4 linked regions of the Caenorhabditis elegans genome follow. The protein of the gene in region 1 interacts with the protein of each later gene in a pairwise test. Each region holds a gene or a part of one and is shown in the gene's direction. Other genes may lie near its edges. The genes, in order: pqn-71, W03G1.5, sgt-1 and Y69H2.3.

Region 1 (7,850 bases):
CGATGCATCGTCTTTTGCAGCGTTACTGATCACGAGTGTCGGGCTCGAGTCCTCATTGTCACGGTCTGGCTTGTAGAGGGATATCTGGAAATATTTCAAATTTAGAGAATGTTCAAAAGCCCTTATAACCTCACCTTATCAGTATCCACTCCTCTGCACGGCGGTGTTACACATCCTCCTTTGCCTTTTGGTCTCTTGAAATTCACGTTGATATGACTCGTAAAATCTTCCGGCTGATGTCCTGGCGGCTGATATGCTTGAGCACTGACAGGTCTTGGGAAGAAGTTCCTCATCATTTCCTCTTCCTCCTCTTGTGGAGTTGGCGTGCTTCGCTCTCCGTCGTCTTCTGACTCGGAGGATTCCGGTCCAATAGTTTCCGATTCCGTTGAAGAGGGTTTCAATGGATTCTTTATCTGTGAACCTGGTGATCCAGGAATCTGAGATTTCTCTGAAGAATGTGGGGAATCGGTTGCCTTGCTGATATCCTCTAGCGGTTCGTCATCTTCTTCGTCAGAACTTGAACCTAGATATATTGGTCGGATGGTTTTAAGATCGTTGAATGGATTTTTGGTCATCTCGAATGGAGTTGTCTCTTTCCCATTTTCGTTAGAAGACGGAGTGGTGTCGGATGAACTTGTTGATCCTGGGCTTTTAGAAGGAGTAGAGCTTTCCGTGTTTCTACCAAACGGAGTTGTAACTTCAGAGCTTCCAGTCTCTACATCTCTAGTGTAGTCGGCGTCATTAGGCAGTCTAGGCTTGGAAGAAGTTCCAATTCCACCACTAAGCTCTTGAGGTCCTGGGCGGATGGTTGGATTTACAGTTTTTCCATTTCCATTTTCAAAATCCCGAGTTGATGATCTAGGCCTTTCTGAGGGAGATGTAGATGGCTGTTCATAGGATTCCGTGTTGCTCGAAGTAGTGGAGACTGTTGAATCCGGATAGGAATTTGAAGACGGGGACACCTGAGTCTGTCCTCCATATGGATTTGGGGGCTCGTAAGGTATAGTAGTGGTGATAGGGTTGGCAGAGGGACTGTGAGCGACGGTTCCTGAAAAATTCTTTCAATTATTTTAGCTCGCTTCTTCCTTAAATACCTGTATACGTTTCCGGATTGACCGACGGTTCCATTGGCTTCTCGGTTGTCACAGTTGGTCCATACAGGCCATAGCTTCCTGTTGAAACTGGCACGGGCGGTCCAGCGGGTCCCGGATAATACGGGTACGCTCCAGTAGTTTGTCCTGGCGTGTCTGGAATCCATATCATCTGCACTGGATACTGCTGCCAATTTGGTGGCAATGGAGGTAATCCCTTTGGAAATTGGCCCTTGTTTGGAGAATTCTCATAGTAACTGGTTTGAGGGCTGCCGGGTTTTGGTTGAGGGCCAACCCAAGCGAATGGTCGGAAGCTTCCACCAGATGTTAGTTGATGTGGAGGAACTTGTTGATATGAGATCTTTGGAGATGGTAACGGTGGAAGACGTTGACGAGGTGGACGGTATTCCGGAATCGAGACCTGCTCGGGACGTGTGTAGTAGTTCGGTTGAGCACGCTGGAATAGAAAAAGTTTATGTATTTTTACTTCAAATATAGAAGTGTTTGATTTGAGAAATAATGTTTTGAACAAATCATTACAGATATTTAAGAGACCTCAAAACTTCGCGGAAATTGAGAAACGTTGGAAAACTTCTACAAAGACATTTTTGGAAATTTTTTGGTTACTTAACTTGGTATATATAGGGTTCTTGACGACTTTTGGAAGTTTTTCAAACTGTCTTACTCAATCGAAAAATTACCAGGTTTTCTACCGGTGCCTGAACATTGTCGAAACCGAATTTCAAAAGCTTCAAAAGTTTTTAAATTTTGACACCTTCCGTGTAAGACAATTTATGACGTCACTGCTCTTAAGAGTTTTAACCACAATTACTGTTTTTTGAGTGAAAATGTGTGACCAGTAAGGCATGAGCAGCTGTTCCAAGTTGTTTGAATTAAAATACTTTTAAAATTAAAAAAAACTGGATTTCTCGGTATCCCTTTAAATCTTATAGTTAGTCCCCCTGTTTTAAAATTCAATATACCAAAAATGTTTAGTTCAACACACGAGCCTCAGCTGGAGCGTTTTATTTTTCAATTAAAGTTTTACGAATGCTACTATTTCACGAGAGAAACCAGAATTTACAAAAACAATTTCTGAAAAAAAAACTCACCTTCGCCAAATTCGAGTGTCCCTTTAAAACTTCGAGATTCGCATTTGGATTCGGCTCAGAGACGGGCGTCTTCCATACGGGCTTAACCGCAATAATCGGCCCAAAAACCGCGAAAATCACGGGGAAACATGAGAGTAAGGGCCTCATCAGGCCCACGTTTTAGGCCTCTAGTTTTTGTCCGAGATTTAGGAAAACAATACGGGAGAAAACAAGAACAACAGGGAGGCAAAGAAGTGAGGAAACGGGTGAGGGGGGAGAATGGACATTCCAACATTATTAGATCGATTTAAGCGATATCGTCTGGTTATGATCGACGGAAATCCCTTTTGAATAGACGCTTTTTAAGGAGGGGAAACAGAAATGAAAACTGAGAAAATCGGGAATGAGGGAAAGTGACGGCAGGAAATGAGACTAAATTGGTCATCGATGTGTTGAAATTCTGGATTTTTTTTCGGTTTTGAAAATCTGCTGAATAGAAGATATTTTATTTGAAACAACACAGTTCAGTTATGTTATCGAGAAAAAAAATTACTGAATATAAACTTTACACTAGAAAGATGAAATTAAACATTTTTGCGTCAAATTTTCAATTAAAAATAATTGAAAACTAAACTTTAAAGCCGTTGTAACACCTTATACAGCAATTTTTTATGCAAAATTTTTCACAAATATTTGTTCAATTAATACATATTTATGTTTGAAAACATTAAAATTTTCCATGCCAACTAGATGTACTAGTTGACCACCAGGCGCGCCTCTCGATTCTCTCCCGATTCCGTTTTCTAAAGACCAATTCTAACACCGCCGCCGTGGCCTCCTTAGCTCAGTTGGTAGAGCGTGAGACTTTTAATCTTAAGGTCAGGGGTTCGAGTCCCCTAGGTGGCTTGATTTTTTTGTTTTTTTTTTCATTGTTGAAAAATTGTTTCTTTCTCAATTTTTTTCAAAAGGAATGGGCCGAACCGGGGATTGAACCCGGGACCTCTCGCACCCAAAGCGAGAATCATACCACTAGACCATTCGGCCACGAGAGACATGCTTCACGGAGGTATACACAATTGAGAGGAACAGAGATAGCGCTGGCCAGAGGAGAGTGTAATGCAAATAAACGATTATGGGGAATGAATAATAAATTGAGAATTTAATTCTGTTTTACTTCAAACTTATATATTTATTTCAAAAATAACTGAACAAACATGAATAACTCTGATTAAGAACCAGTTTTCCTCCATCATGCTCAACAAACAAACAAAAGATAAGTTGATTTATCGGGTCAATGAAAAATGCAAACATTGTAAACTTTTGATTAGGATTTTCAAGAAAAAAAAACGTGTCTAACTAGAAACAAAAGTGTAGGTTGGTAAACAACATGAAAAAGTATAAAAGTGGCAAGAATTACACGGGGTATACTCACAGAATCCCATTGAGCGATGCGTTGTGTGATTATATTGTTTGCAGTTGCTTTGGCTGTGGCTCAGGTTAGTTTTTCAATTTTAAACTAATTGTAAGGAATTTGAAAATTTATAATTTCTAAGTGCTGAGAGAAAGCCTAATAATTGTATTTTCTTTTCGCAATTTCGTGTTAACAAAACTACTTGAAATGTGAATTGGCGCTTTAACGACTGTTTTTGAACCTCTTCGAATTTCAATTTTCGACATCATTAACTGAAAAATCTCCTTTTTTAGAGTAATATCTGTATTCCCGTATATGGAAGTAGACCGACCCTGTTTTAATGTGGGCCGATAAAAATCTCGTAGTGACGTTTAAAATTGATAGAAGCATTCCAATTAACGACGTGTTTCTCAACTCAATTTGATTTCAGGCCTCCTCAATCCGCGAAACCCGTCAAGCCTCCTGCGGATGTGCTCAATCGGTTCAGCCGACCTGCTCCTGCCAGCAGGCCTCACAACAATACAGCTGCTCCTGCCAACCTTCAACTCCATGCTCTTGCGCCAGCAGCCAGCAATATCAATTGCAGACGTCTCAATGCATGCCTGCTTGTCAACAGTCCTGCAGTCAACAGTGCCAATCTAACACCAACACTCAATGCCAGCCAACGTGTCAGCAATCCTGCCAGACATCGTCTTGCAATCCGATGACTTCCACACCAATTCCAGCGTCGCAAAGTTGTCTTCCAGAGTGTGAGAACCGATGCATGCAGCAGTGTACTCAACAGCAGACCGCGCAACAGTGCCAGCCAATTTGTCAGCAGCAGTGCCAGCAGGAATGTGGGTCCACAGGAAATATGATGTACAATAATCAGGATCCGTATAATCAAATGCAGTATGGAGGGTACAATCAGCAAGGAAATCAGTACCAGAACCAAAATCAGTACCAAAATCCAAACCAGATCCAAAATCAGTACAACCAGAACCAGTACCAAAACCAAAACTACTACAACCCTTACCAACAAACTCAATGCCAACAACAATGTGCTCCACAATGCTCTCAACAAACTTCCACCAACTGCCAGCAGTGTCAGAACTCCTGCCAGAACAGCAACACTCAAACCATAACCATCTACGTGCAAGCCTCCCCACAGACCTCCCAATGTGTTCCCCAGTGCCAGCAACAATGCCAACAGCAGTGCCAAACTAGAACCACGGCCTCCCAACAGTGTGCTCCAGCTTGCTCGACATCCTGCAATCAATCCTGTAATCAGCCGGCCCAAATGGCATGTCAACCAATGCAAAATAGTCAGTGCGGATGTCAACAAAACTATTCGCCGTGCGGAAATGTCTCCGGGCAGTGTTGTTTGAAGAAGTAAAATTCTTGAAGATTGTATTTCTGTAAATCTAGGAAATGATGAATAAATGTTTCTCACTACCAGTTTTTTTGTTAAATGGGTCCTTTCAAAAGTGCTGAAGCTAATAAATTTGGTACCTGGTATTCACACAACATTTTTTGTTGAATGGAAAAAAGGTGGATGTACCTTTAAAGAGTACTGTAGTTTCGAGCTCTGTTTTTCAGGAATAATCATTTCGAGACCCGGAAAAACAATTAGAAATATTAAGAAAACTATTGTTGTATTGAAATTATGTTGATAAGATTTTATAGAAGATGACCGAAAATGTTTTAAAATTTATAATTGATTAGTATTTTTCGAATTTTTGTTTTCAGAATCAAGGAAAAATCGAAAACTCGACCCACTTGGTCCCTGTTGTTTGTTCTGCTACTACGTAGTAGTTGAGTGAGAGCAAGAAGAGGTGAAAAGTGCATTGAGAAAAAGAGACAAAAAGTTACCCCTTCAAATGCATATCGCTACATATATATAAATAGATGTCCAACTTTTTTCGCACTTTTCAATGAAAAGAAGGGGAAAGTTTATTAGTAATTTTTTTGAATTTTGAAATGTATATTTTTAGGTAGGAAATTTTCGATTTTTTAAATGAAAATTTCAAATTATTTTTTGCTTTTAAAACTATTTTTTGCAATTTTTCTGTTACATAGACTTCGAATTGAGAGCGACATATTTTTCTGAAATTTACATAAATTATTCATCAACAAGTAGCTTTTCATATTTTCAAGACATCTACATAATTGTTTCGAAAACAAAATCCCAAAAAAAAGTACACCTTTCAAAAAATGTGACGGGGCCTTTTCTTTGTCTTACAATGTGTTTTGTTCTCGTTTACTCAATTAGTGAAAGTCAATGACTTGTTGAGACTCTGCAACTAGTCACAATACTTTTCCGCGTTTCACCGAATTTCTATGAGCGGAGCAAAATTGAGTTTTTACTTTTGAATGTGTGCCGGGTGATTTTGGACTTTTTTTTCTGGGGATAAATATTTCAGCACTTTACTTATTTCTCGTAAATTCGAAGGAATTTCCAATTTTTCGCGAAATTCGAGTCTTTAAATTTTAATGTCCCGCAAAAAAATGGAGCAATCAACTCCCAGTTAAGCTGAATTTTAGTTGTTTTTTATGTAGTTGTTTCCCTCCAAAAAAGCGTCCACTCCCACCCATTTCCCCAATTTGTTCAGCAGAACTTTTTTTGTTTCTCCTCTCTCAAATGGTGGTCCGTCTTTTCAAAAATTCCCATAAATCGTTTTGCAGAACCCCGGGGTGTTTTTGTGAAAAACTAGAATTCGAGTGACTTTTTCAAGTAGTTCTGGTAAGAGGATAACGGAGGGACAAGGAAATAAATTTGAAGGGGAGCAGCACACTTGAATTGAAACTTTTGGAATTTAAACTAAATAAGAAGACAACGAATTCGTATTCTATGAGAGAGATCAAGCTTTTGAATATAAAAAACTAGTTCTTGAATAAGTTGCTCCGTTTTTTGGGGCATTTTTTGAATTGTAAAAAAATTTAAAAATCCGAAAAGTTTCGTGTTTCGCTGTTCAAAGTGACCTCCCTTCTGTTTTTCTTATTGAATACTCTCAGATTATTTATTTTCCAGATTATTTAAATTCAAACTGTGACACTTTTTCGATTTTTTTTGTCGACCTCACCTATTCTAGTGCCAATTCCAAATTCTTCCTTGTCCTTTTTTGGGAATACAAAAACATTTTAATGGTTATTTTGGCAAACATATTTGAAAAGAACATGTCAACCAATTCTTGAAGTCGTTGACATTTTTATGCATTTTTCTCCATCCTTTTACATATTTTTCTTCCATTTCCTTCTTGAACCAATTTCTAACTCCATCTTGACATGGTCTGCCAAATCTTAACCAAACAAATGTTTACGCAAATCATTTGGGTTTTCAGATAAATTATTTTTGATTTGATTTTTCAATTTTGTAAAAAAAAAGTGAATATTTAAATTCCCGCCCGAATGTGCCTACGCTCTCCGCTATCCGATTTTTCGATGTTTTCAGAATATTTCAATTCTTCTTGAACATTTTTTTTGAAAAGTACCTCAAAATTGTTTTGAATTTTTATTCGCATCTATGAAAGTTGATAGAGAAATGCATATTTTCAAAACATTTCTCGACTTTTCAAATTTTAGTTTTCAGCAATAATTACTATTCCGAAACTCTGATTTTTTCCAGCTGAAACCCAAAATTTCCAAAAATTTTGGAACATATACAAATTTATTTTATGGCCCTCATACATTCTCGGATCCCATTAAAATGTTCCCCCATAAATTTTTCCCACAACATTTTGTTTCACTGTCTGTACCTCTTCCGTCTCTTTTTTCATCAACCTTCTTTTTCAACTTTTATCTTTTATCTTATCATCTTACACCTAGCTTCCATTCTCTTTCTCTCGGGGATATACGTCTGCTCTTTCATCCCCAAAATTTCTTTCTATTTTCCTACTTTATATCAAAACTCCTTATCTCATTTCCTTTTTTTTCTATTTGCTCATATCCAAATGATGGAACATCAAATTTTCTGACTTCAAGTGTGATGAGAAAATCTTGAGCCAAAAAAAAAAGAAGAGTTCCCGGAAAACTTGGAAAACAACTTCTTATTTTTTCAATTAAGTATTCAGAATTTTTGAATCTTGAACGACGAGCTTGCAGTCTACTAGAAAATTCCAGATATTTTCGATTTTTTCAAGCTTCAAGTTTAGTTTTATTTTATTATTCTGACGGGATTCATAAGTCAATTTATTTATTGAAAAAAGATCTTTGTAGAAAAATTTTTTTTTTTTGGAAATTTCTACTTTTAAAACAATTTTTCAATTTTCAGACTTTTAC
Region 2 (7,869 bases), on another chromosome or scaffold:
GGTACTGCGGAGGGGTCGGAACAACCGATATTCGTTTGAGTCGCCTTAATAATCCAAGTTCATAGCACATTTTCAAGTTCGCTTCTGTTCGAAACTGGTGATTTGTGTGTAGACGGAATGCAGCTTCGGTTTTGATCTCTTGAAGAGCCGACATTCTGTAAAAACATTCTTGCTCCCTATTGTGCTCTAATTTTCTCACTTTCTCATGATGCTCATGCCCAGTCCATTGTAAATTTCCGGAACTAAAGTTCTTTGAATAGTGTGATAGAAGTACTCGAACCATTGAGTTGACAATGGAAATAAGCTACCGTACAGCTCAGTCATTCTTGCAAGGTGGTACAACACTTGCTGCAAAATAGTAATGGGTGTTAGTTGACGACAATTTCCATACATGTACTTTGATCCCATTCAACATTTCCGGTGCTCGTTTCACAATTAAAACTTCGATGGATTTGCTGATTTGTTCAATCTGTAAAGAATGGTCTACTTTTTTCAAGCAAAAACAATAAAAACTAACTTTCAAATGAAGAGTCTCGTCAGTGATTGATTGGGGTTCTATGCAAAGACGATAAAGTCCATGAATGCTGAGAATGATAGCCGATGATACACCTCCAAGTTCACCGGAAAATGCAGCTGCTACAACTATCGACTCGAAAATCTAAATGTGTGTTCACTTTGCAGAAATTAGCTGAACGAATCTTTTTACCAGTGCTTTCTCAGAACCAGTACACTGTGAAGCTTTGCCGGACAACGAACGAAATCGAGATGGAAGCGAAGGTGTTGATGAAAAATCCACCGATTTTGACGGGAACAAATTCCATTTCCCTTTGGAGAATAATGCTGAAAAATGAACACGTTTCGGGAGCATTCGGGCATTACTAGTGACCTGTATTGATATTGCTTAAAATTCCTTCTTCAAAACAATGAAACAAGTCAACCGGGCATAGATGCATATACAAAACATGCTTGTGGAAATGAGAATGCTGGTTTCTTTGACGAAGGCCATCGTTCATAGTCGAAGGGCACGATCCGGTGAGATTTTCGCGTACTATAAAGAGGTGATTATTTTTTTAATAATAGTTTTCATGATGCTTACGTGTTGTATACTCATCATTGATTTTGCACTCAGTTTCCTGGTTTAAGCAAAAGTTGCAAGAACCTGATGATCGGAGTCCACACTGATTGTATACGATTCGTCGTGCCTGAAACCAAACACTTGTTTTCAAAATTCTGAATTTTCATCTCACTGGATCGTCATGATTGGCACACGTGAGATCCGCTTTCCAGGCCACTCCCTCTGAGAAGAAGACATGTTCGTCCATTTGGAGCAGAATCCATTGTGTAAGTCTATCATGAATTTTCGTTGTCGGATTTTTGAACCCGATGAATAACGCTGCTAAAATGAGGGCCTGGGGAGAAGCTCGATGAACGTCTTCGAGATCCAAATTGAGTAAACTATATGGCCAAATGTTCTGACTGAAAACCAATTAAAATTTTTAGAGCCATCAAACTAAGATACTTACTTTCCATTTTTATGTACTTTGATTCCGTCGAAGCTACTCTCGAAGTGCATCCACATTTCATTATCTGCCATTTCGCTGAGTAGCTTTTTTTTAAAGATACCCTTATTTATTGGACTGGAGCTATTATATCCTTCCAAAATAGTTGTTTTAGTCTTCATCATGATATTCGCAAAACTATTCAATATAACTTCGAGCCATTTCTTGAGATCTCCGAAAATTAGTTGGCATTTCTCTTGCATATCTTCACATTTGCATCTGTAATGATATATTTCAGAAATTTAGTTTTATAATAAACCTACAGTTCGATATTCTGCGCACATAAATTACATACTTCTACAAGTGTTAGATGAGAGTCATTCAGTAGCAATTTTCTGAGAATGCTATCTTGTGAAACATTGTGAAAATGTAGATATCTCAAAATGGCTGCTTTCGAGTTGGTAGTAGTGATGAGGAAAAAAGTTGTTCTCAGATTTTGATCGCTCAGAGAACGACACAGTTGACTTCGCTCGTCGCATAGAGAAGAATCGCGTTGAGTGTCCAAATAAAATGACTCATCGGTTTCAGCTTCTTGATCGATCTCGTAATTTCCCACTTCATCGACCGGATAACGAATTTCCCCGTCTTCATCAATGAATCCTGTTGTTTCTTCGTCTTCGAGTTCATCTTCTACACCATCTTCCTTTTGTCGTTCTTCATCTGCAGTTGTTTCCGTCTCGAAGTTATCGGCCTGGGTGCTTGAATTTGATGGACCATTGCTTCCCGGCTGGTGAGAACCATGATTATTGTCCGTCGGGTCTGAAAGTAGTTATTTAGTCCCAATAAAATCATTTAAAAAATTTACCTAGAGCAACTATTGTCACGCTTTGAATCAGAAGACTCCGGGGTGCTGAATTCAAAATTCTTCGAACTGTTGTTCTTGGATTTCTGGCCATAATCCTCCGTTTCTAGCCGGGAATGATACAAATCTTTGAAAAACACACTGGAATTAACAATTAACACATATTGATAACATATCACACAAAAAATACAATAAAAAAGGTCAAAAAAATGAAATATGTGAAATACGACGAAGAAAAAACAAAATAAAATCAATAATCAATGTTCTGCTAGTTAGCAGTGGGTTTCTGCTAATTAGCAGTGCTTTTTAGCTAATTAGCAATGACCTGCTAATTAGCAGTGGTTCTCTGCTGATAAACTATGGCTTTACTAGCTTTTGCTGATTAGAAGTGATTTTCTGTCGCTCTGCCGTGACTCCAGTTTATCTGAGTTTAAAAAAACATTTTTAAAAATTGTCTAATTTTGAAACGTTATTTTGAAAAACTTGATATTTTGGTAATTAATGATGAATTCGCGATTTTATCAGTAAATGCGTAAATATACGGCAAAAAAATAATCTAAAAACTGTGAAAAGCTCGGCAAAAAGTAGGGTTGATTCCAAAAGAAAACATTTTTTTTCCGAAAGAAATTAAAACATTTTTTGCCAAAAACACGAAAAAGCTTTGTGTAATTTTAAAAATTGTGTAATTTTGAAACGTTATTTTGAAAAACTTAATATTTTGGAAAATTGTACACCTTCTCATAATTTTTTAAAAGTTGAATTTTAGTGATTTTCAGCAAAAAAAAAACGGAAAAATTGTATTTTTTGCCAAAAAAACCAGAAAACACAGAATACACAAACTAAAAAATGTATGTGCGATTTTCAAAAACTGAAAACATGCCAGAAAAACAAAAATAGCCAAAAAATCCATTTTTACCCAATAAAAATTCCCATTACCTGACCCAAAAAATAATCCATTAAAATTTCAGGTCGGAATCCGCAGAAAGCGTCTGAAAGGTGACGCGTTCATGTACAAGAAGGTGTGCGAGAAGATTCTTCAAATGGCGAAAATCGAATAATTCCTATTATAAATATTCTTGTTTTCCTTTTTCTTAAATTTTCCCCCTAATTTTCGCCCAAATTCTCGTCTTCCTGGGTTTTTGTGTGTGTGTGTAGAATATCAATCCCGTTATCATTATTCTTATTATTATTATTCTTATTTTCTATTGTTCCAAGTTGTTTTCGAAACTGTTTTTTTCGAATTTTTCCCAATCGTGTAATATTTTTTGAATATTCCTCTCTCCTCTCTACTAATCCCTCGAATTTAAGTTTTTGTTTCGTATGCTCTTCTTATCCAATGATACCCCGCCTTTTTTTGGTATGAATGATCAAGATCTCTTTCAAAAGTTGTTTTCCCGCCAGCCACAAATAATCCTTTCCCCCCCCCCCCCAAAAAAAAACACGTGCTTTCTCCACTACACTAGTGAGGTTGCGCAAGTGTTCAGCGCCAAAAACTCTAACTCGTATTTGCTCTAGCCGTCTTACTCTCACAGTGACTCCACCCATTTTGCCGCTGATCTCACGAAAAACAAGTGGCCGAGTATAAAAAGCGAGAGCGGATGCAGTTATTTTGTCATATTGAGTCGCTACTGATGGCTCACGGACATCATCATCACCACCGCCGCGAGCGCCCGGGGCGCGAAGTTTATTTCAAACTTACTGCTAAAGATTCGAAACAGGCTCATCTATTCTCTATCAAGTATGAGAAGGTCGCCGGATTGCTCGAGAAGCTCAAGAAGAAGCTCGCCGAGTTCAAGGTCGACTTTGCCAACATTTTCTGGATCGATCGGGAGAAGGATCAGATTTTCCTGCAGACAGCCGAGGATCTGAAGGAGGCGATCAAGTTCTCGAGGTTTGTGGTGAAGCTGTACGCTGAGGGAACTGGTGAGAAGGATCTGAAGGGTCTGAAGAAGGATCTGAAGAGCGAAGACGATGAGGATGATCGTCGCAGCAGCAGCTCCTCATTCTCGAAGGTGTCTCATGGAAGATCGGAATCCGAGTCGTCTTCGTCAGGATCGGAAAGCAGCGATGACGAAAATGATCGCAAGAAGAAAGGTGAGCGTTCTGGAAGTTCCTCTTCTTCTTCTGGATCTTCCCGATCTCCATCTCGTGGAAGACGTGGAGGACGTGGTGGCCGCTCAGGATCCAGCTCGTCATCATCATCTTCTGAATCACGATCTCCCGGAAGACATGAGGAGCCCGAGAAGCAAGGAAAGAAAGAAGAGTTGAAGCAGCTGAAGAAGCAAAAGTCCGAAGGTGTTGAGCATCGTGGAAGATCGGGGTCACCGGGAGGACGTCGTGGACACGGTGGACGCCATGGATCCCGTTCTGGATCTCCAGGAGGTCGTCATGGTCATGGAGGCCACGGAGGACATGGATCACGCTCCGGATCTCCAGGTGGTCGTCATGGTCACGGAGGCTCAGGGCATCATCGTGGAGGTCGTCATGGAGGCCACGGAAGGCATGGATCGTGCTCCGGATCTCCACGAGGTCGTCATGGTCATGGAGGCCACGGAGGACATGGATCACGCTCCGGATCTCCAGGTGGTCGTCATGGTCACGGAGGCTCAGGGCATCATCGTGGAGGTCGTCATGGAGGCCACGGAAGGCATGGATCCCGCTCCGGATCTCCAGGAGGTCGTCATGGTCACGGAGGACGCCACGGCCCACCACATTGTCCAGGACGCCATGGAAGACATGGATCCCGTTCCCACTCTCCTAGAGGACACGGGCACGGAGGACGTCACGGGCCACCACACTGCCCAGGGCGTCATGGACACCACGGACCACCACACCATCATCACCATGATGGACGTTCTCCATCTCGTCACGGCCACCACCACCATCATCATCATGGATGCCGTCCATTCCCACCGCATCATGGACATCATCACTTTCCACCATTCTGGCCACCATGCCCACCACCACCACCATTCTGGCCTCCACATCGTCGTGGCGGTCACTGCCATCACCATCATCATAATGGACATCGTTCGTTCTCCCCATAAACTCTTAATTCTGATGCTTATTATACTGTGCATAATGTATATTTATTTGTGATCAATAAAGTTGTAAATAAATAAATAAAAAAATCGTGTTATGTTTTTTGTTTTTTTTTCAGATTTTCAGGTGAAATAAAAAAAAGAGAACATTGATTCTTCCAGGAAGGCAATTGCCTAGGCAACTGAACAAACATGAGTTCCTTTCCGTCTGTTTTTTTCCAATTTCCACCAGACTCCTAGGCTTCCCCAAAAGGCCAACTGATCGCTTCCAAAAGGCGAAGACATCTCGACCACTTTCTGTTGATCGACGAACAATTTGAGAGAGAGAGAGAGAGAGAGAGAGGAATTGACACAATGAGTGTGTAGTTTGCTTTTGTTTGAGACACGCAGAGTTTGTAGTATTCGGTGTGGTTTATGCTTTAGAGGTTGCAAAATATGAAATCGGAGTAATGGAAAATTGAAATATGACGAATTGACTAAAGTGAAGTTGGATGTTGGTTGCTATTTATTAGTAACAAATTTCGATATGAAGATGTTAATTTAGTGGCAGTGTTATATAAATTTCAGTCTACTTCGTAGGTTCAAAATTGTTTGCATGTGTACCTAGCAGACAAACATCGGTCAAACGTACTTGTAATAATGCTGTAATACTGGTGTTCCAAGGCTTTTTTCGACAGAAAAAATGTTTTCTGAAAATGTTCGAAACCATTAAAAAATTGAAAAAGGACACTTTTTAGTGTTCGGAAATCAATTTTGAGTCTTCTAACAACAAAATTAACCATTTTAGAGGAGTTTCAAAATTGTGAATTTTAACAACATAAATAGCCCAATTTTGGTACCTTTTAATAGTTTTTGATGGGTTAAACCAAGATTTTCTGAATTCAGCATACCTGAATTACCAGTTTTCAACAAATTTAGACAACTTTTTATTTATTTTTTCCTTTTTTTTTTCAGCCATCCTTTTTTTTGGTCAAAAATTGTTTTTCTGAAACTCTTCGAAACCAATATTCTGAAAAAGAACAATTTTTAGTGTTGTTGAGTGAATTTTTAGGGAATTTTGTAGAAAAAAACTGAAAAAAACTTTTAAACAAATTTGACCGTGGTAGAGTTGAACTGTAATTTGGATGCTAACTCAAAAACGAAATGATTTTTAAAAACTATGCATATGAAAATTTAAAGCCGAAGTTTCTCAATCTACTAATATTGTTAAACTTACCATCATTTTTATCAGATTTTTATGGTGCAGTAAAACATTTGTAACAAGCTTTTGAACATCGGACTTCTATTCCAATTACTTGTTTGAGCTTCGATTTTTCTAGCTTTGTTTACCCGTTGCATAATCTGTGCTCATGTTATATGAGATACATATACATGTTACTACTCGGCAGTTTGCTACTCCTGGCGCGCGCACGTTTCGCAGCGGGCGCGCCGACGGAGCGCGCTAGTAATAATGTCTCGAACGCCCGGCGCACTCTCTGCGCGCGCCCCGCGCATTTGATACAAATTTTGTCACGGCTCGTTCCCCATCCCTTCATTATTTTATCAAATACATTGGCAATGTGGAATACTGAGTATATTTAGATTTAACTTTATTATAGTGAAAAGCTTTAAAAATTTAAAAACTTCAAAATTAAAAATTTTTCCGTTGTGCAGCAAGTTCTCTTCTTCCTTTGTTGGAGTTCCTGAAGTTCTTTTGATGGATCTGAAAAATAAAAAAGTTAATTTCACTCATTGAAACATTTTTCATGTTCATTTGAAAAAGAAAAAAAAAACTTACAGGAATCAGGGAAATTAAACAACTCCGAAAATCTTCTTTTCAGAGGCCCCTCGTGCATAGGCCGTGCGGAGGTGGTGAATCCAATTCATCTCCATACCTTTGCTGCTTTTCTGAAAATATCAAATTATGTTTATAAATAATTGCTATGTATAAAAGAGGTCAAAGACCTGGTTGTTATCAAATTATTACTCATTTCGAGGAAATCGTTTTTATAATCTTACCGATGAACTAATTCGTTTAAATCCTCTGAAGATGTGATTCGTCTCAGCATTTATGCACTTTCTGCAAATTTTTTCATTATTATTTAATTGAAATTTAATAAAAAATAAAGAAAATGTGTAAAGTCGAAAAAAAAACTGAAAAAACACAGCTTGAAAAATTTGGCAGAGTTGAAATCTCGGCCGCGGCCGCGATCTGCGGAGGATGCGCGCACGGATCACGCACGGGGCGCGTACAGAGCGTGGACGATCCGCGCACAGAGCGTCGACGATGTGAGGATTATGTTTTTTCTACGTGAATTTGAGGATTGGGAAGTTAAAACAACTATAAAGTGCCTATATACCGATACTTTCTATATACGGATCAATATATACACAAACATATCACCATACGTTTCCTATTAATTGTGTCCCATTTGACAACTGCAACCTCAAGCCAATAAATGTTCCATTTTGAACGATTACACATTCA
Region 3 (7,931 bases), on another chromosome or scaffold:
GACGAGAAATGAAAAGGTCACAGTGATGATGACATGACTTTACACCGAAAAACAGATGAGACAACCTCAACGGGGTAAACGACTACAGAGAAAAGATTGAAGATGAAGATGAAATGGGTCAGTTAATTTCTGTTTTCAAAAAAAAACAACACAAATAAATTGAACGGCGCTCTTACAATATACGCTGAGGGGGAACACAAAACAAAAAAATAAATGGTGGAAAATCGCCTCCAAACCCAGTGCAACGAGGGAGAAAGATTGGAAGAAAAAACATAGAAGAGGCAAAAAGAATGCGAAATAGCAGAAGAAGATTAGCCGGAGACGGACGGACGGACGGGTGGACGAATGGACAGCCGAACTGATGAGAAGAGGAAACTCAAACAATGTGGGTGAAGGAGATGGAAGAATGAGGAGATGGAGGCATTATTTTTGGTAGAGTTCTAGCTATAAAAGTGGGCAAGGTCATACATTTTAAAGTATCTGTGATGAAGTTGCAAACGGCTGCAAGTCAAGGGAGAATCCTTATGACAAAGATGAACTTTTTCTCACTTGAAAAGTAGAATTACAAAAATGATTTAGGGTTTCCACTTGAATTTTCTCCAAAATGAGAAACCACGCCAGCTAATTTTTTTTTGGCATTTTAAAGCAAAAACTACGGTATGGGACTATAAACAAAATTCTAATTACACTTTTTCAAAATTATGAAGTGCCAAGTCGTTTGGGGATGCGAAAACCCCAGAGAAGATGGTCCACAGAGTCCATCAAAACATTCACAACTTTTCCACATGACTCTTGAAACTTTTTATTTTGAAATCCGAACCCTTGAGGTGTCATCATGACGTAAATAATAATTCGGCGATGGATGGAGATATGAAAAAATGAAGAAAGTTAAGAAAACGGAGAGAGGGACAGTTGGCAACATTCGACCACCTGTTCACTTTTCTAAATTGTTTTCATTTTCTTCTTGGTCTTCGCTTTTTCCTCTTTGCACTTTTTGCCCAATAGAAAAGGATCTAGATAACTCAACTTTCAGTTCACAAACGAAAGAAAAACAAAATCGAGAATTCAGAATTATTATTCATCTTTTTATGAATCTATGATTATTTGTCAGATGGTCAAATGTCATTCAACGCCAATAAAAAGCATTTTTACAGGACAAAGACTCGTTGTATGTAATACAAAAGTCATTTAAAATTGAAATAAAATAGATAACATCAATGTTAAAAGTCTTCACATTTTCAGAAAACTAATCTCGTGTTTAAATTTTCAAATCCAACTAAATCCCAATCAGACTAAAAGGATGTTTTTGAGCTTTGACTCACCATTATCCGAAAATGTTACTTTCATCTCGTGGGGAAAAGTAGAAAAGAAATTATTAATAATTTGCACAGATATCCAAATTTAGAAACGAATTATAGCCTTGAGCAGGTGCAGAATTGCTTTTTTGGTTATTTTCTAAAACTCTAAGCCGATTTGTAATGATCGGATGTTTGGAGATTGAAAAATCTGGAGTCAATAAGCAAATATGTGTTTGTTTAAACATTAAAAACATATGTGAAGAAAAAAAGAGCGTTTTTCTTCTGCCAAAAGGTGAACGAGCCGGAAATAGTGATTTTCTTCCAATTTCGTAGAGCAATTTACGTCACAATGACGAGGGACACACAAAAACAAGAAAAGAAACGGAAATTTACCTTTTTTGAGTCCGGCAGGCGGTTGAGAGTGTGGAGTCGCAGGTTTAGCTCCAAATGACCAAGAAACCTGGAAAAATGAGATTTAGAGGCTATTTTTAGAATTATTGCGGTGAAAAGCGGAAATTTTTAATTTTAGTTTGCAATTTTTCCTCAAAAATACATTTCTGTGAAATACGAACAAGTGTGCGCTTTAAAGTTAATTTATTTCATAGTTTTTTTGCGAAAAAATGTTTCTTATACCAAAAATAACAATATAAACACATAAATATTAACGAATCGTGAGAAAAAGTAGAAAAAATTGATAAAAAATTCTGCAGGAGCGAGAGATTGAAAATACTGTACTTTTTAAAGGCGCACACTTGTTTGTTATCTACGAAACACTGTCGTGTCGATACCGAGAACCGCATTTACGGGTGTGCGCCTTTAAAAATTACTGTAACTTAAAACTTTTGTGGTATTTTTATCGACTTTTCATGGTTTTTATGTCTTCATATCGTTTTTTTTTGATAATTTTTATTAAAAAAACAAATATATTACCTGCTGTGGTGCACGAACAGTTCTTGTTGATGACGTGCTGGCATGATCTTTGCGAGATCTCTCGCTCTTCAGACATCCACGACTTGAAGAGGAACCGTCAGTTTCAGCCCCGGTTTTGTCTGAAAAAAATAAATTATTGATTTTTATTCAATCTGAATGAAAAATTCGAATTCTTACCATCATTATCCAGTGAAACATCAGATTCGTCAGAAGTGTTATCGAAGAGTCGTCGCGCAGGAGCATCTGGCACATTAACGCCATTATTTGCTGGGTTTCCAAAATTTGAAGATGATGGAATGTCTTTGTTCTGTTCTTCCGATTGAGACATGTTGTAGAATGGTGGAAGACGAAGAAGATGATAAGAGTGACAGTTTAATTACTGAAAATGTGCGAAATTTTATATAGTTTTATTTATTTAGGAAACAGATAGTGAAAGTTTGGGAGGAGTTGAACAGTATAAAATAAGAATGACAGGCAGAATGGCTGGGTAAATATTATTCAAATACAAGTATTTTCAAAATTCCGCAAATTTGAACAAGTTTTCATTTAAAAAACACATTTCGAACGGAAAATTTGGGTAAAAGAAAGCTTGGAACATAGTGAAAAAGGACTTTGCGAACAAATAAATTAAAATTTGCTTGATTTCAATTTGTTTTTTTCATTTTTTACAGAAACAACAAATTTCACAGCAGCGTTCTCCTGACTATCACACTTTTTTTTTGAAACAAAAACGAATAAAACAAGCTTGAAATAAAACTTTTGGTACCCAGACGTCTCTGGCCCCAAAAAATTTAAGTTGACGGGTGTCGACAGAGGGAAATGAGTGGCTTTTGGAAGGAGACCTGGGGCCACCAGTCAGCTTCTCGCTTCTTTTTTTTTCTCTAGCACTCTCTCAACTTTACAATACACTCTACGCGCTGCTGCAACTTTTCTGTCAAGTTGTCTGCCGTCTCTTCAGTTGAACTTGGTTTACTTTCGTGGCGAGACACATCAAAGTGACGGCCGACATGTGCCTTTGAGGCTGATGAAATTATTCCCGCAATTTCCAGAAATTTTTGCACTGATTCTGAAATAAAATGACGTTGCAATCTTTAATTTTACTCTTCGTTGTTCAAAAACTTTTCAATTTTATTCTCGTTACAATATTTCACTCTTCATTGACCAAATTTCGCAAATAGAGCGCTTAAATTCAGATTTTAAGTTAAGCATTTAAAATTAATACTCTTTTTTTTTAATAATAATAATAATTTATTACGCTCGCTGGGAGACGTGAAGGAATATAGAATACAAAAGTTATCATTGTTCGCTCGAACTAGAATTGGTGCAGTCGGGCAATCGTTTCCATTCCATTAGAATGTTGTCCTTGTCCTTGCGTTGTCCTTGCGTAGACTCCCCCATAGTGGGCGAGCGATTCCCGAGTGAAAATAATCACGGAATGCCATTTTTAAGCGATGCCATTTTCTATTTCTTGAACTATATATTTTTAAGAATATTTTAATCTGCGCTTTATCATGGATTTTCAATTCAACTTTATATTACTTTTCTAACTTCAATATAAAATTATTTAATAAATATATTTTTATTTTTAAGAAAATGTCCGAGGAGATCAAGCCTTCTGCTCCAGATGCGCCGACTGCTTCGCCAATTGTGACCAGAGACGAGCAAAATTTGGTTGTCTCATTCCTTCAGTTTATCCGCCAGAAGGTTTCACAAAATCAGGCCACTGCCGAGCAAGCGGAAGCTCTTGAAGGTTTTTTCCTATTTATTTCTATAAATTTAGCTTAAGATATATTAAAATTTCAGTTGCAATTCAATGTCTCGAACACTCGTTTGGTCTTGATGATGCCTCATACGCTTTCCAACCATCACGCCCAATTCTCGAACTTTTCAAGAGCGCCGAAGGACTTCCAGAGGGAGAATCTGCTCTTCCAACACCGAGCGATAGTGATATTTCTCAAGCTAACAAGCTTAAAGAAGAAGGAAACGATTTAATGAAAGCCTCCCAATTTGAAGCTGCTGTTCAAAAGTACAATGCCGCCATCAAGCTCAACAGAGATCCAGTCTACTTCTGTAACCGCGCTGCTGCTTATTGCCGCCTGGAACAATATGATTTGGCCATCCAAGATTGTCGTACAGCTCTTGCCCTTGATCCATCTTACTCAAAAGCTTGGGGAAGAATGGGTCTTGCATATTCTTGCCAAAACAGATATGAGCATGCCGCTGAGGCATACAAGAAGGCTTTGGAGCTTGAACCAAATCAAGAGAGTTACAAGAATAATTTGAAAATTGCTGAAGACAAATTGAAGGAGCTGGAAAGCTCGCGACCGGCACCAGGTGCCAATCCATTGGCTGGGCTTTTGGGAGCCATGGGAGGAGGACCGGGAGGAATGCCGGCTATGCCAGGAATGCCAAACATGCAAAACCTTATGAACGAGCCAGGACTTATGCAAGCTGCTTCACAGATGATGAGCGATCCAGCACTTTCTGATATGGTAAGTATCAAATTTTCGGGAATAAAAGATTTAATTGAAATGGCAATGCACGTGGCCGTCAAAATTAATTGTTTTTCATTATTATTGCTTGTTTTTTGATGATGTATGCTCTAAAATATTGAATTTTTCAGTTCAACAACATGATGTCTGGAAATGGATCAATCGCTGATTTGATGGCTGCTGGCCAGCAAATGGCTGCTCGCATGCAAGAGACCAATCCAGAACTTATTGAAAATCTTCGACGCCAATTCGGCCCCGGAGCCGATGGAGGAGCACCACCACCAAACCCACCACAATAGATAATCTCTTCCGCCAATCTCCTTCCGCATCACGAATTTCCATTTCGTTATCTCTCTCTCTCTCTCTTTCCCCTTCTCTCGTCTTTACTTTCTGCTCTCATGTGATTTGAAAAAGCCGAAGTCGCTTATGGTTACTCGTTTTTTTTAGTTTCTCTCGCAGAATTTCCCCTTACAATGATGATGTTATAATCGCCCCCGATTCAAGCCTTATCGAAATATTGTTTTTAATTAGATGGTCATGTTTTAACTACCAACAAAAAATTGGGTCAATTTTCTTTTTTTTCACGAATAATAAATATTGTCGAAATATTCTTTCCATCACAGACACACTGGTTGCAAACGCGCTCCAACACGAAATTATCGATTTGCACCCAAACGAAAGATAGCGCGGGAGTACTCACATTTTCTTTATTTTTGATTTTTTTGTTGAAATATTTTAGTATTAAATTAAACAATTTAAATTGTAAAAAACCTCAAATTTGAAAATAAATTCAGAATGCAACGCCACGAAAGGATTCGATTTTTCATAACTGAACAATGTCGTAATCTGGATCCAACGTATAGAAATTATGTAGGAATTTAATTTTCTGTCAATCTAAATTCTTTTAAAAGTTATTTTCAGATGTACCCGAAACAAATTCTTCTCGGTGACGTTCCTCTACCACTTCTCCCTAATTCTTCACTGACGTTTCGAGTCAATTCAGCTGTAAGTAGAAAATTTATTGCGTGACGAGCATTATTGTGTTTTAAAAACTCTAAAAATGATCAAATAAATTTAATTTTTTTTAGGAAAAAATCTGCTTCCGTATTCGACTTTCGATTGATGACAGCCAGGAACCATTGAATATTGGAATTCCATTATCACAAGTTGAAAGTGTTTCAATTAAAGATCATAGTGCGAAACATCCAGAACCTGCTCTTCTTTTTTTACTTAAGAAAGGAGCTTTAGAGAGATTTATTCAGGTACACTATAATTTTTTCGATTTTCGCACGACAAATTTTTGTAAAATGAAAGAAGGTGTGCGCCTTTGAAAAGAGTACTGTAATTTCAAATTCTCGTTTATGCAGAATTTTTATCGATTTCCATAGATTTTCACTAACAACTTGTGTTTGAAAAAACACATGAACTCGTCAATTCACTGCAAAAAAATTCGAAAAAATTGAAGATTCCGTAGCAACGAAAGTTTGAAGTTACAGTATTATTTAAAGGCGCACACCAGTTTTCACTTAACGGACAATTTTCGTGTCGAGACCAGACCCCGTATAAAACGAATTATTTCAGGTCTGTAATCCACTATTGGGCGAACTTCACACATATCATGGACGAAAACGTAAAATGCTGACATATCTAACAGTAATTCTCGGAATGGATCCACACTTGGAGCAACCGAATCCAGTTTATTGCCGTGTTTCATTAATGGCTAACAAATTCACATTCCCATTTGGAACAGCGAAGAAAATTTTATTAAAAGATGTGAGTTTTGATTTACCGCGTTTTCTAAAAAAAACACCAACAAAAACGTTTTTTCCCGGGGAAAAAAGACGAAAAATGAGTTTTATTCATCTGAAAATACATGAAAAATTAGATTTTTTAAATTAAAGATTTCCCAAAAAAATTATCAGAAAATTTCCAATTTTTCCATAAGAAAACGCAAAGATGTATATTTTTCAACTAAAATATTGCGATTTTTCCAAGAAAAAAAACTATTAAAAATAAATACAATCCAATTTTCCAGTTACCAATAATGTGGCAAGAAGTCTTGGATAAACAATACGATCGTCGTCTGAAAACTGGAATTCATCATGATAGAGAACGAATGGCAGAGATGGATGATGAAGCATGGGATTGGCTTATGTCATTTCTAAATGTTAAATGGGACAAATGTCCCAGTGGTGGACGTTGGTTCGTTAGAGATAAGGATGGTACGTTTTTTTTTTGCTCCGAAAACATTAATAGCCAGTTGTGAAATTCGGTGATTTCGAATAAAAATACGGTACTCGGTCTCAACACGACTAGAACTTAAAAGCTACCGTACCCAGAAGTATTTTGCAATTTCCTAAAATGTGGCAATATTAATTTTTTCATAGAAATACCAAGTTTTTTTAGCACTATAAATCTTGAAAAATTTAAGGAAAAATTGTGGAATACTTGTGAGTTTTGTAGCTGCAAAGTTTCTTGAAAATCGAAAAATTAAAACTACCATAACTACAATGCAATCTAATTTCAGAACTCGAAACTTCAGTCAACGAGCATAATGAGTAAGTTTCCTATATTTTACAACTAAAATTAACTCTGAATTTCCAGAAATCTTGCAATCAAACGAGAAGCTTCACCACAAGATGATCTACTGGCTAAACCAATGAAGCAAATAAAATATTCCGATTCAGATGTTGGTTCTCCAAATTCTATATCTTCGGAATCTTCAGCTTCTATTATGACACGATAAAACACTCGTTTAAAAATCATTTGTTTTCAACCCCGCTAGAACACTTTTTACTATCAGTTTTCCATCTAATTCTTCACCAAAAAATCAAAAATCGATACTCACAGCTGCTCCTTTACAATTTCAGCCGTTGAGTTCTCATCATGACTGGAAATGTATCATTTGGCTGAGTCTATTCAGCGACATTAACCATTTCAACTTTTTTGGCATCAAATGTTTTATAATTTTATTCTTATTTTACTGCACTTTATTGTCATTAATGGCTCAATAAAAATGTTAATAATCAAGTTTTAAACACTGAGACATGCCAGGAGTAAACATTTTCAGATACAGTACCCACAAGAACGGTAGACTCGAAATTTGAATTTTTCAGAGGAAAACAGTAGTTTCACGAGCTGAAAACAAATTTTTTGTGTTGATAAAAGTCCAAAAGCATTTCTGTTCAGAAATTAATTCCAAAATTAATTT
Region 4 (8,589 bases), 3.2 Mb from region 1:
ATGAAGTTTGTTCGGTCAATTATTATTGTCATCACTACACCCATTTACTTTTGATCTTTCGGTAGTTTCGCCGAGTACCACCCGTAGTTCAGTTCAAGGCCGAGTGGGTTGGGCTTCAAAAAAATGCGAAAATTCAAAAGAAAATAATGACGAATTTGACCTGATATTTGGGTATAAAATGTGCAGATTTTGGTATTTTGTGTTCTAATTTTTACTACGGTTTTTCGAACTTTTTATATATAAAAGGCCGGATTTTTTGTTTTTCTTTTGTTAAAATGTCTGAAATTTTCAATTTCCTGTGTAAAATTGTCCAAAAACCCAAATTTTCAAGTTTTGGTTTTCCTTATAAAAACTGTCTGAAATTTTAAATTTCTCATCTTAAAGTGCCTGAAATTAGAATTTTTTAATTTTCCTGTGTTAAAGTTTCCAAAATTTTAAATTTACTATGTAAAATATCTGAAGTTTTTATCGTAATTTTTTCATATTAAAAAGTCTGGAAATTTAAATTTCCTACGTAATTATCCTACGTAAATTTATTGAAATTTCTTATTTCCTATTGAAAAATGTCAAAATTTTCTAATTTCCTATCTAAAATGTCTGTAAATTTGAACTAACTTTATAAAAAAGCAGGAAATTCCAAATTTCCTTCTAGAAAATTTTTGAAATTCCTGGAAAACATAGGAAATGAAAATTGAAAAAATCTAAATAAAATAAACGAAAAAAAATAAAGTGAATTACAGGTTTCTAGTGTAAAAAACTCAGCTTTTTCTAAATTCCAATTTAAAAATGTCTGAAATTTTAGAATTCTATTTGAAAACTGTCCAAACTGCATATTTTCCTTTTTACTCCGACTGACCAACTCCCTCTAGAAACAATCCATTTTGAATTTCCCGCCAAAAATATTTTCTCCAAAAATTTGAATTTCCGCCAAAAAAATTTTTCTCAGAAAATTTGAATTTTCCGCCAAATTATTTTTCTCCAAAAATTTGAATTTCCGCCAAAAAAAATTTTCTCAGAAAATTTGAATTTTCCGCCAAAAAAAATTTTCACCAAAAATTTTTTTTTTCAGAAAAATTGAATTTCCCACCAAAGTATTATTTCTCAGAAAGTTTGAATTTCCCGCCAAAACATTTTCCAAGGGTCTCACCACAAAAAGAGCCAAACCCCGCCAATACAATATTTTTCAAAATTAACATCAAAAATCCCAAATTTCTTGCAGAAAATGTTTATTTAATCAGCTTTTCATCTTTGATTTCAGCCAGCTTTTTCACATGAAATCATATAAACAAATGGTGACACAGTGCAAATATTTACGCTTCTAAATATATAAAATCATAGAAAATTTGATGAGAAAATCGAGTTTTTGACCTTCAAAAAGTGCTAAATTTGGCAAAAAATAGTCGATTTCAAACGAAAATTTTGTAGAAAAATTTAAAAATTCCTTCATAAAAATGGTTGAAATTAGAATTTTCCTATTCAAAAATGTCTGAAATTTCCAATTACCAATGTAAAAACGTCTGAAATTTTAATTTTCTAATTGCAAAATGTCAGAAATTTCAGTTTTTCTATTGAACTTTTCATTTCCTATAACCCGAAACATCCAAAAAACAATAAATTCTGCCAAAAACCGCCAAATTTTCAGTTTTTTTGCCGGTTTTTTCTCCAAAAGTAGTCCCAAAACCCCATTTTCTCGAAAATTTTACATTTTTCTCAAATTTTCTATCAGAAAATTCAATTTTCCCGCCAAACCCCCCTACAAATCCCAATCTCCACACATCATTTACAAAAAAAAACGTGTAAAAAATGTGTGGGAGATCAAAAAATAAAAGATTTGGCGGGTTGGGGGATTAACCCTTCAATTTCCGTTTTTTCTAGTCAACTCGCGCGTGTTCATTTAATCCAAAAATCCACTACAACTTTGTGAATTTCGTTAGATTTTCGTTTATTTTTTTGTTGGTTCGAAATATTGATTTTGTCTCGTCATTTAGTCGTATAATTTTAGTACTCAAGTGTAGTTTGTAGTTTGTAGTGAAACTGCCCATGCTGTCCCATTTCGGTTTGATCTACCCCCCAGATCTACAAGAATTGCGGGAATTTAGACGCAGAGTTCTCAAATGATTTTCAAAAACTTGCAGAAATTTCAAATTTCCTATACAAAAATATCTGAAAAACTGATTTTCCTGTAGAAAAACGTCTGAAAAATCGATTTTTATATGTAAAAAATTTCTGAAATTTCGAATTTCCTATATAAAAATCTCTAAACATTTCACATTTCTTATGTAAAAATGTTTGAAAAAGTGATATTCCAGTAGAAAAATGGCAGAAATTTCAAATTTTCTATGTAAAAATGCATGAAATTTCAAACTGTTATGAAAAAATATCCTAAAAATATGATTTTCCAGTATAAAATGTCCTAAATTTCAAATTTTTTGTATAGAAATCTGAAATATTGAATTTCTCATGTGAAAATATCTGAAAAATTGATTTTCTAGCAGAAAATGCCGGAAATTTTGAATTTTTTAGTACAAAAACGTAAAAAATTTGAACTTCCTATATAAAAAATTCTTGAAGTTTCAGATTTCATGTTTAAAAATGTCTAGAAAATTGATTTTCCTGTAAAAAAAACGTTTGAACTTTCAAATTTTCTATGTAAAAATGTCTAAAATTTCCATTTATTCATTTAAAAGTGGCCGAAATCCTGAATTTCACAGTTCAAAATACCGGAAAAATACATTTTTCAGTCGAAACATGTCTCAAATTTTGAATTTTTTTATATAAAAAATTTCTGAAAAAAGTGATTTTCCAGTAGAAAAATGGCAGAAATTCTGAATTTCCTATGTAAAAATTCCTGAAATTTCGAATTTTCAGTGTAAAAATATTTGAAATTTTGAGTTTCCTGTAAAATAATGTCTCAAAATTTGATTTGTCTATATAAAAAATGCCGTAAATTTCCAATTTCCTATGTAAAAATATCTGAAAAGTTGATTTTTCCTATGTAAAATTGTCTGAAATTCATAGATTTTTTCTATAATTTTTTTTTGGAAAAAACAGTTCAAACTACATATTTAAACTTGAAAACATATCAAAAAATATTTACTTTGAACAATAGTTTTTTCCCGAAAATTCCATGTTTTTTTGCAATATTTGCATATTGTTTTCAAGTTTTCTGTAACTTCGAATGTTGTTTTTCTTTAAACTCCCCATTTTTTCCCAGCAATTTCTGCAAAATTTCCAATCTTTTGACCCCAAAAATCATCAAAACACAGACATTTTTTTTTGTTTACTTTCTCCTTTTCTCTCTCAAAACATAATGTTTTCCGCACTTTTGATGTCTGATTTCTCGATTTTCTGGTTTTTTTATTATAATGTTTTTCCTGAAACTTTATGTTTTGGTTCGCATAAAAATGCTATAAAATGGCGTGATTTTATAGTTTTCCAGAGTTTCCGAGTTTCGGAGCGATGCAGTATATTGTGCTGCTCAGCGTTCTGCTCATCGGAGCAAACGCTCAACTTTCAGCGACAAGAGGTAAGTTTTTCCAACCTAAAAGTGTACCTAAACCCCTTTCAGACCAAGAATGCAAAGAAAACGAGAGCTTCCAGACGTGTGGCACGGCTTGCGAGCCGACTTGCGGGCTTCCGACTCCGGTGAGCAGATTTTGTTGTCAAATTCCGGCTTACAACGTGGTTTTTGCAGACTTTTTGCACACTGCAATGCGTCATGGGATGTCAGTGTAACAGTGGATTCTTCCGCAGAACTTCGGATAATCGTTGTGTTGAGCAGAAGGACTGCAATGTTGCGGCGAATGAGACGATTCCAATTCCACCACCAGGTTAGAAGGGGACACAGACTAAAATTTGGGCCGGGCTACGCAGTCTCGGAATCTGAAATTTTGGGTCCGCTAGTACATCAGAGTTTCCAGACAAGGCCCAATCTCTAAGGCCGCACTGGCCCTACAGACAATGGCCCGGAGTTCGAAACGGGTATCTAGACCCAGAGCTTGGGGGTATCAGCCTCCTGACTTTGTGGGCGCCAAGCCCAGAGTTCAAGGGTCCCAGGCCCAGAGTTCGGGGGTACCTGCCCCAAATTTTGGGGATACCGAAAGACTAAATTTTGGGCCGGGCTGCACACGGAGTCCTGGAATCTGATGTTTTGGAGCGCGGGGTCCGCTTGAAAATCAGATCTTCCTGACAAGGCCCATTCTCTAAGGCATCTCAGGCCCTACAGACACTGGCCCGGAGTTCGAAACGGGTATCTAGACCCAGGTACCAGCCCCCAGAGTTCATGGATCTTAGGCCCAGAGTTCAGGGGTGCCAGGCCCAAAGTTCAGAGGTCCCCAGCCCAGAGTTCAGGGATACCAGCTCCACAGTTCAGGGTCCCCAGCCACAGAGTTCATGGGTTCCAGGCCCAGATTTCGTGGGTACCTGGCCCAGAGCTCGGGGACTGCCGGACCCAGAGTTAAAGAATACCAAGCCTTGAGCTCCACGGTAACAAGCCCAGAGCTCCACGGTACCGAGCCCAGATCGTGGGTACCAGTGCCAGACTTCAAGGGTAACAAGCCCAGAGTTAATGGGTCACAGGCCCAGAGTTCATGGGTACCAAGCTCAGAGCTTGGGGTACCGAGCCCAGATCGTGGGTACCAGCGCCAGACTTCAAGGGTGCCAAGCACAAACCTACCAGGCATCCTAAAGCCTCCAAACCAAGACCCCCGACCCCAAACCCCTCTAACCCCCCACCAATTTCCAGCCACCAACCTCACATGCCCAGTCAACGAGGTATCCAACGAGTGCCACAACCCATGCACCGAGAAGAAGTGCCCACAAAAGAATGCTCCACAGGTGAACTGCTTGATGGCCTGCCAAGTCGGATGCTCCTGCATGGACGGATTCGTCAGAAACAACCAAGGAGTGTGTGTCAAGGAGGCCGAGTGCCCAGCGATTGGTAAGTACTCTAAAAATTGGACGAAAAAATGCACCAGAATTGCGCCACCGCACTGCAACTTTCCAGGCTCTCAAACCTGCGGAACCAACGAGGAGCCCAACCAGTGTCACAACGCGTGCTTCGAGAAAAAGTGTCCGGTTAAGCCCCAGCCACTGGTAAACTGTATGGAGAAATGCGACATCGGATGTTCCTGCAAAAAGGGATTCCTCCGGAACCGCCAGGGACAGTGTGTGAACCCTACCGAGTGTCCGGCTACTGGTGGGTACCGTTTTAAAGGAAACTAGTTAGAGCCAGTGATTCTAGGCTCCACACTGACTTGCTCCAAGAATGAGGAGCCCAATGACTGTCACAATTCGTGCTCCGAGGCAAAATGTCCTGTCAATCCACAGCCATTTGTTAGGTGCATGATGAGGTGCGAAAAAGCATGCTCTTGCAAGAAGGGACTCGTTAGGAACCGGCAGGGACAGTGTGTGAAGCTTGCAGAGTGCCCACCGACTGGTTAGTAGGGCTGAAGCCTAGTTCTAGTGGCTTTAGGGGTCTCGAGTGAATTTTCGGGCAAAAAGTCATGTTAAATAGGCTTCTGGCAAAGTTTTGATGAAAATATCTAAGAAAATTGAGCTGAGCTCAGTTTTAGAGAGTTTTAGCAAGTTTGGTGTCTTGAAACGAATTTTTGCGGCATTTTTGACTCCGCTGTTGATTTTTAGAACAATTTTGCGATTATGAGCAGGTTTGCATCAAAATTGATGTAAATCTAGGCCTTTCAACAAAAGTTTTAGTTTTTGGACCAAAATTTCGGTGCAAAAAACGACTTGACCCCTTTTTTCGACAAATCCGGAGCAATTTTCCTATTTTGGGGCAGTTTTGAGCAGAATTTTTTGATTTTCCCCTACAAATGTGGTTTCCAGGCAAGACTGACACAAACCCATGTGCCTTGGTACTCTGCAAGCCCGGTCACCGATGCACCATGTCAACTGGCCAGGCAACTTGTGTGCCAGGTATCATTTTTTCTGTCCGCGGGCGCTGGTTTGGTGCGGTTCTTTGCTAAAATTCTGAGAATTTGGTGTCCTGAAATGGACTTGGATGGAATTTTGACAAATTTGTGGATTTTCGGAACGATTTTCACATTTTGGGACAGTTTTGGACCAATTTTATGGGGATATTGGCTTTTGACATACTTTTTGGCAGTTTTTTGACGAAAACGTTTTTTTGGCACACATTTTGGTTTAACGTGCGAGTTTCAACAAATCTGCCAACTTTCGGCACATTTTTGAATCAATTTTGAAGGTTTGGGGTTGTTTTTGACGCAAAAATCGGGATTTTAGCTTGTTTTCATGCCAAAATCATGATGCAACGACGTAATGACTTGACGCAATCCTGGTGCATACCCTGCGACTCAAAATATACGAATTTTCCGACTCTAACATATAAATTGTTTCCAGGCAGCACTGACGAGAACCCATGCAACTTGGTGGACTGCCGTACCGGTCACCAATGCTCCATGTCAACTGGCAAGCCGACTTGTGTACCAGGTATCGCTTTAGGATTTGGGGAAATCGGGAACTTTCTGTTGAATTCGGCTAGATTTTCAGTACTTTTATTCCTATCCTTGAGTTTTCTAACACCCAAAAAATTAAAGTGAGAACCGCGCCAGAGACCCCACCAACCGGGATCACGTGCGCCAACGTCAGATGCGGATTCAAGGGAGGTTGTGGAATGGTTGAGCCCGTCGGATGCGTGGGTTGCAAGCGTCAGCCACAGTGTTTGGAGGAGGACTGTGAGTTTTTAGGCAGAAAAAAATTCAGTTAAAATCGTCGAAATTTTCAGATTGCCGCGCCCAGAACTGTCCCTACAACGAGGAATGCGTTTTAGTCCAGGTCACGTGTATCCGGGCTCCATGGTAGGGCTTTAGTCCGGAATTTTTTTTTGTTGCAGAAAAAAAGTTTCAATTTCAGTAACCCAATCCCAACATGCCGTCCAAAGGACTTGAGACTCATCAAGCCTCTTATCCAGCCCCGTGAGCGCCGTCAGGCCGGGCCAAGCTGTATGACGGCCCGTTGTGGGACCCCGGCCGGGTGCGCTATGGTCAGGCCAAGTGGATGTATTGGTTCAACTGTGGAGAAGGGTTGTGAGCTCATGCCGATGTGTATTCATGTGAATGGTAGGTGACTGAGAGCCACGATATGTCGGGCGCTGCAACTTAACATGGTCCTGCGGACCTGCGATGTGTCGGCTGCTTTCTCTATCCTTGAAGCATCTGAATATAGATACCTTGGAAGTGTCCGACGCTAGAAAATCCGTAAAATTTCCAGCTTGCGCCTCCACGTCCTGCCTCGTCGGATCCCAATGTGTCCTCCACCAGGTTCAATGCTTCACGCAACCATGGTAGATCAAATTCCCCGCTTCTTTCCACTAAATTATTGTTTCAGCGACCCGATTGCACAATGTGAAGCTCCTATCAAAAAGCCAATCAACAGACGGTGCAGATCAAATGAGAAGTTTGAACCCTGCAAGACTGTCTGCTCAGACACCAAGTGTAATGAAGAGCCGGTAAGTGGGCGGGATTTGAGCAAAATTAGTTTTTGAAAAATTTTTTGAAATCAACGAATCAGAAGCTTTCAAATAAGTATAAACATGACTAGGTTCTGCAAAAAAAATTGTTTTTGGAAATTTTGTTTTCGCAATTTTCCAATTTTTTCAAGGGGCTCAAAATCCAGTCATAATTATACTTTTTCGAAAGCTCTCAGCTTGCCTAACTCAAAAATTTTGGATTTCCAACCTACAACCGAAAATTTCCAGAGATTCTGCCCCCAGGTGTGCACCGGCGGCGGCTGTGTCTGCCAGGAGGGCTTTTTCCGCGACAATTCCGGCAAATGTGTCACCCAAAACGATTGTGACGCCCAGAAGCCAAAGCTTTACTAAAATTTGAAAATTTAAATATTTTCCGGGGGATTTTCTGTAAAAATCGATATTTTTTTCTGTTTCTATTCTTTGGTTGAACATTCCAGTCTAATAAAAAATTTATATTTTCACTATCTTTTTGTTGATTTTTTTGTTGAGAACTTTTGAAATTTCAGGCTGAAAAAGTCTGAAAATTTTCAGATTATTCGGACACCCCGTCCCCACTGTTCCCAGGCAATGGCTCTGACATTAACAGTGAGTTTTTAGGAATTTTAGCCCAAGAATTTTAAATTTTTAGTCCAAATCACCCCATGCTCCACGATGAAATGCTCCGCTGGCACCGAATGCATGGAAGTGCAGAAAAATTGCACAGAGCCCCCGTGGTGAGCTTGAGAGCTAGAATTTTTTTTTTGAAACTCTCATAATTTTTGCATTTTCAGCGGTTTCCAAGGAGTCTGTGTGAACACTACAGAGGTCCCAGTCGGCGGTTGCGCCACTATGAGATGCTCCGCAGGAACCACCTGCCAGGAAGCCCTCGTCAAGTGTGCCAAGGCTCCGTGGTAACCCTTTAAGCTAGCTTTGCCTGAAAATCCAGCAAATTTCCAGCCCAAGCCACGCGGCGTGCATCCCAAACTCCAACGAGACTTTGAGCAGCTGCGCCGCCGTGACTTGCCCAGTTGGGGAGATTTGCACGGAGACTTTGGTTCAGTGCTTCGTGGAGCCTTGGTAAGTAGAGAAGAAGCTGGATTTGA

What was found.
Region 2: the proteins of pqn-71 (region 1) and W03G1.5 interact in a two-hybrid assay, tested with the Caenorhabditis elegans proteins (2 studies listed by BioGRID).
Region 3: the proteins of pqn-71 (region 1) and sgt-1 interact in a two-hybrid assay, tested with the Caenorhabditis elegans proteins (3 studies listed by BioGRID).
Region 4: the proteins of pqn-71 (region 1) and Y69H2.3 interact in a two-hybrid assay, tested with the Caenorhabditis elegans proteins (one study listed by BioGRID).

Annotation. Positions count from the first base shown.
Region 1 is NC_003283.11:15,462,071-15,469,920, forward strand, and holds pqn-71 (Prion-like-(Q/N-rich)-domain-bearing protein), read left to right. Parts: upstream 1-3,606; 5' UTR 3,607-3,630; coding exon 3,631-3,678; intron 3,679-4,023; coding exon 4,024-4,968; 3' UTR 4,969-5,030; downstream 5,031-7,850. Other genes in the region: rocf-1 (ZP domain-containing protein), read right to left, coding at 1-84, 135-1,048, 1,095-1,548, 2,204-2,350.
Region 2 is NC_003282.8:502,608-510,476, reverse strand, and holds W03G1.5 (PB1 domain-containing protein), read left to right. Parts: upstream 1-3,992; coding exon 3,993-5,408; downstream 5,409-7,869. Other genes in the region: pig-1 (Maternal embryonic leucine zipper kinase), read left to right, coding at 3,330-3,419.
Region 3 is NC_003280.10:4,899,684-4,907,614, reverse strand, and holds sgt-1 (SGTA homodimerization domain-containing protein), read left to right. Parts: upstream 1-3,818; 5' UTR 3,819-3,821; coding exon 3,822-3,978; intron 3,979-4,031; coding exon 4,032-4,720; intron 4,721-4,851; coding exon 4,852-5,019; 3' UTR 5,020-5,327; downstream 5,328-7,931. Other genes in the region: btbd-10 (BTB domain-containing protein), read right to left, coding at 1,692-1,758, 2,229-2,347, 2,406-2,556; R05F9.9 (MSP domain-containing protein), read left to right, coding at 5,516-5,590, 5,642-5,725, 5,809-5,982, 6,302-6,493, 6,756-6,942, 7,248-7,278, 7,325-7,466.
Region 4 is NC_003283.11:18,658,967-18,667,555, reverse strand, and holds the start of Y69H2.3 (Follistatin-like domain-containing protein), read left to right. Parts: upstream 1-3,429; 5' UTR 3,430-3,459; coding exon 3,460-3,526; intron 3,527-3,568; coding exon 3,569-3,645; intron 3,646-3,694; coding exon 3,695-3,830; intron 3,831-4,744; coding exon 4,745-4,939; intron 4,940-5,005; coding exon 5,006-5,197; intron 5,198-5,242; coding exon 5,243-5,437; intron 5,438-5,844; coding exon 5,845-5,934; intron 5,935-6,378; coding exon 6,379-6,468; intron 6,469-6,575; coding exon of another isoform or gene 6,576-6,713; intron 6,714-6,763; coding exon of another isoform or gene 6,764-6,836; intron 6,837-6,891; coding exon of another isoform or gene 6,892-7,097; intron 7,098-7,248; coding exon of another isoform or gene 7,249-7,321; intron 7,322-7,365; coding exon of another isoform or gene 7,366-7,486; intron 7,487-7,735; coding exon of another isoform or gene 7,736-7,858; exon of another isoform or gene 7,859-7,969; intron 7,970-8,038; coding exon 8,039-8,092; intron 8,093-8,135; coding exon 8,136-8,220; intron 8,221-8,277; coding exon 8,278-8,397; intron 8,398-8,443; coding exon 8,444-8,563; intron 8,564-8,589.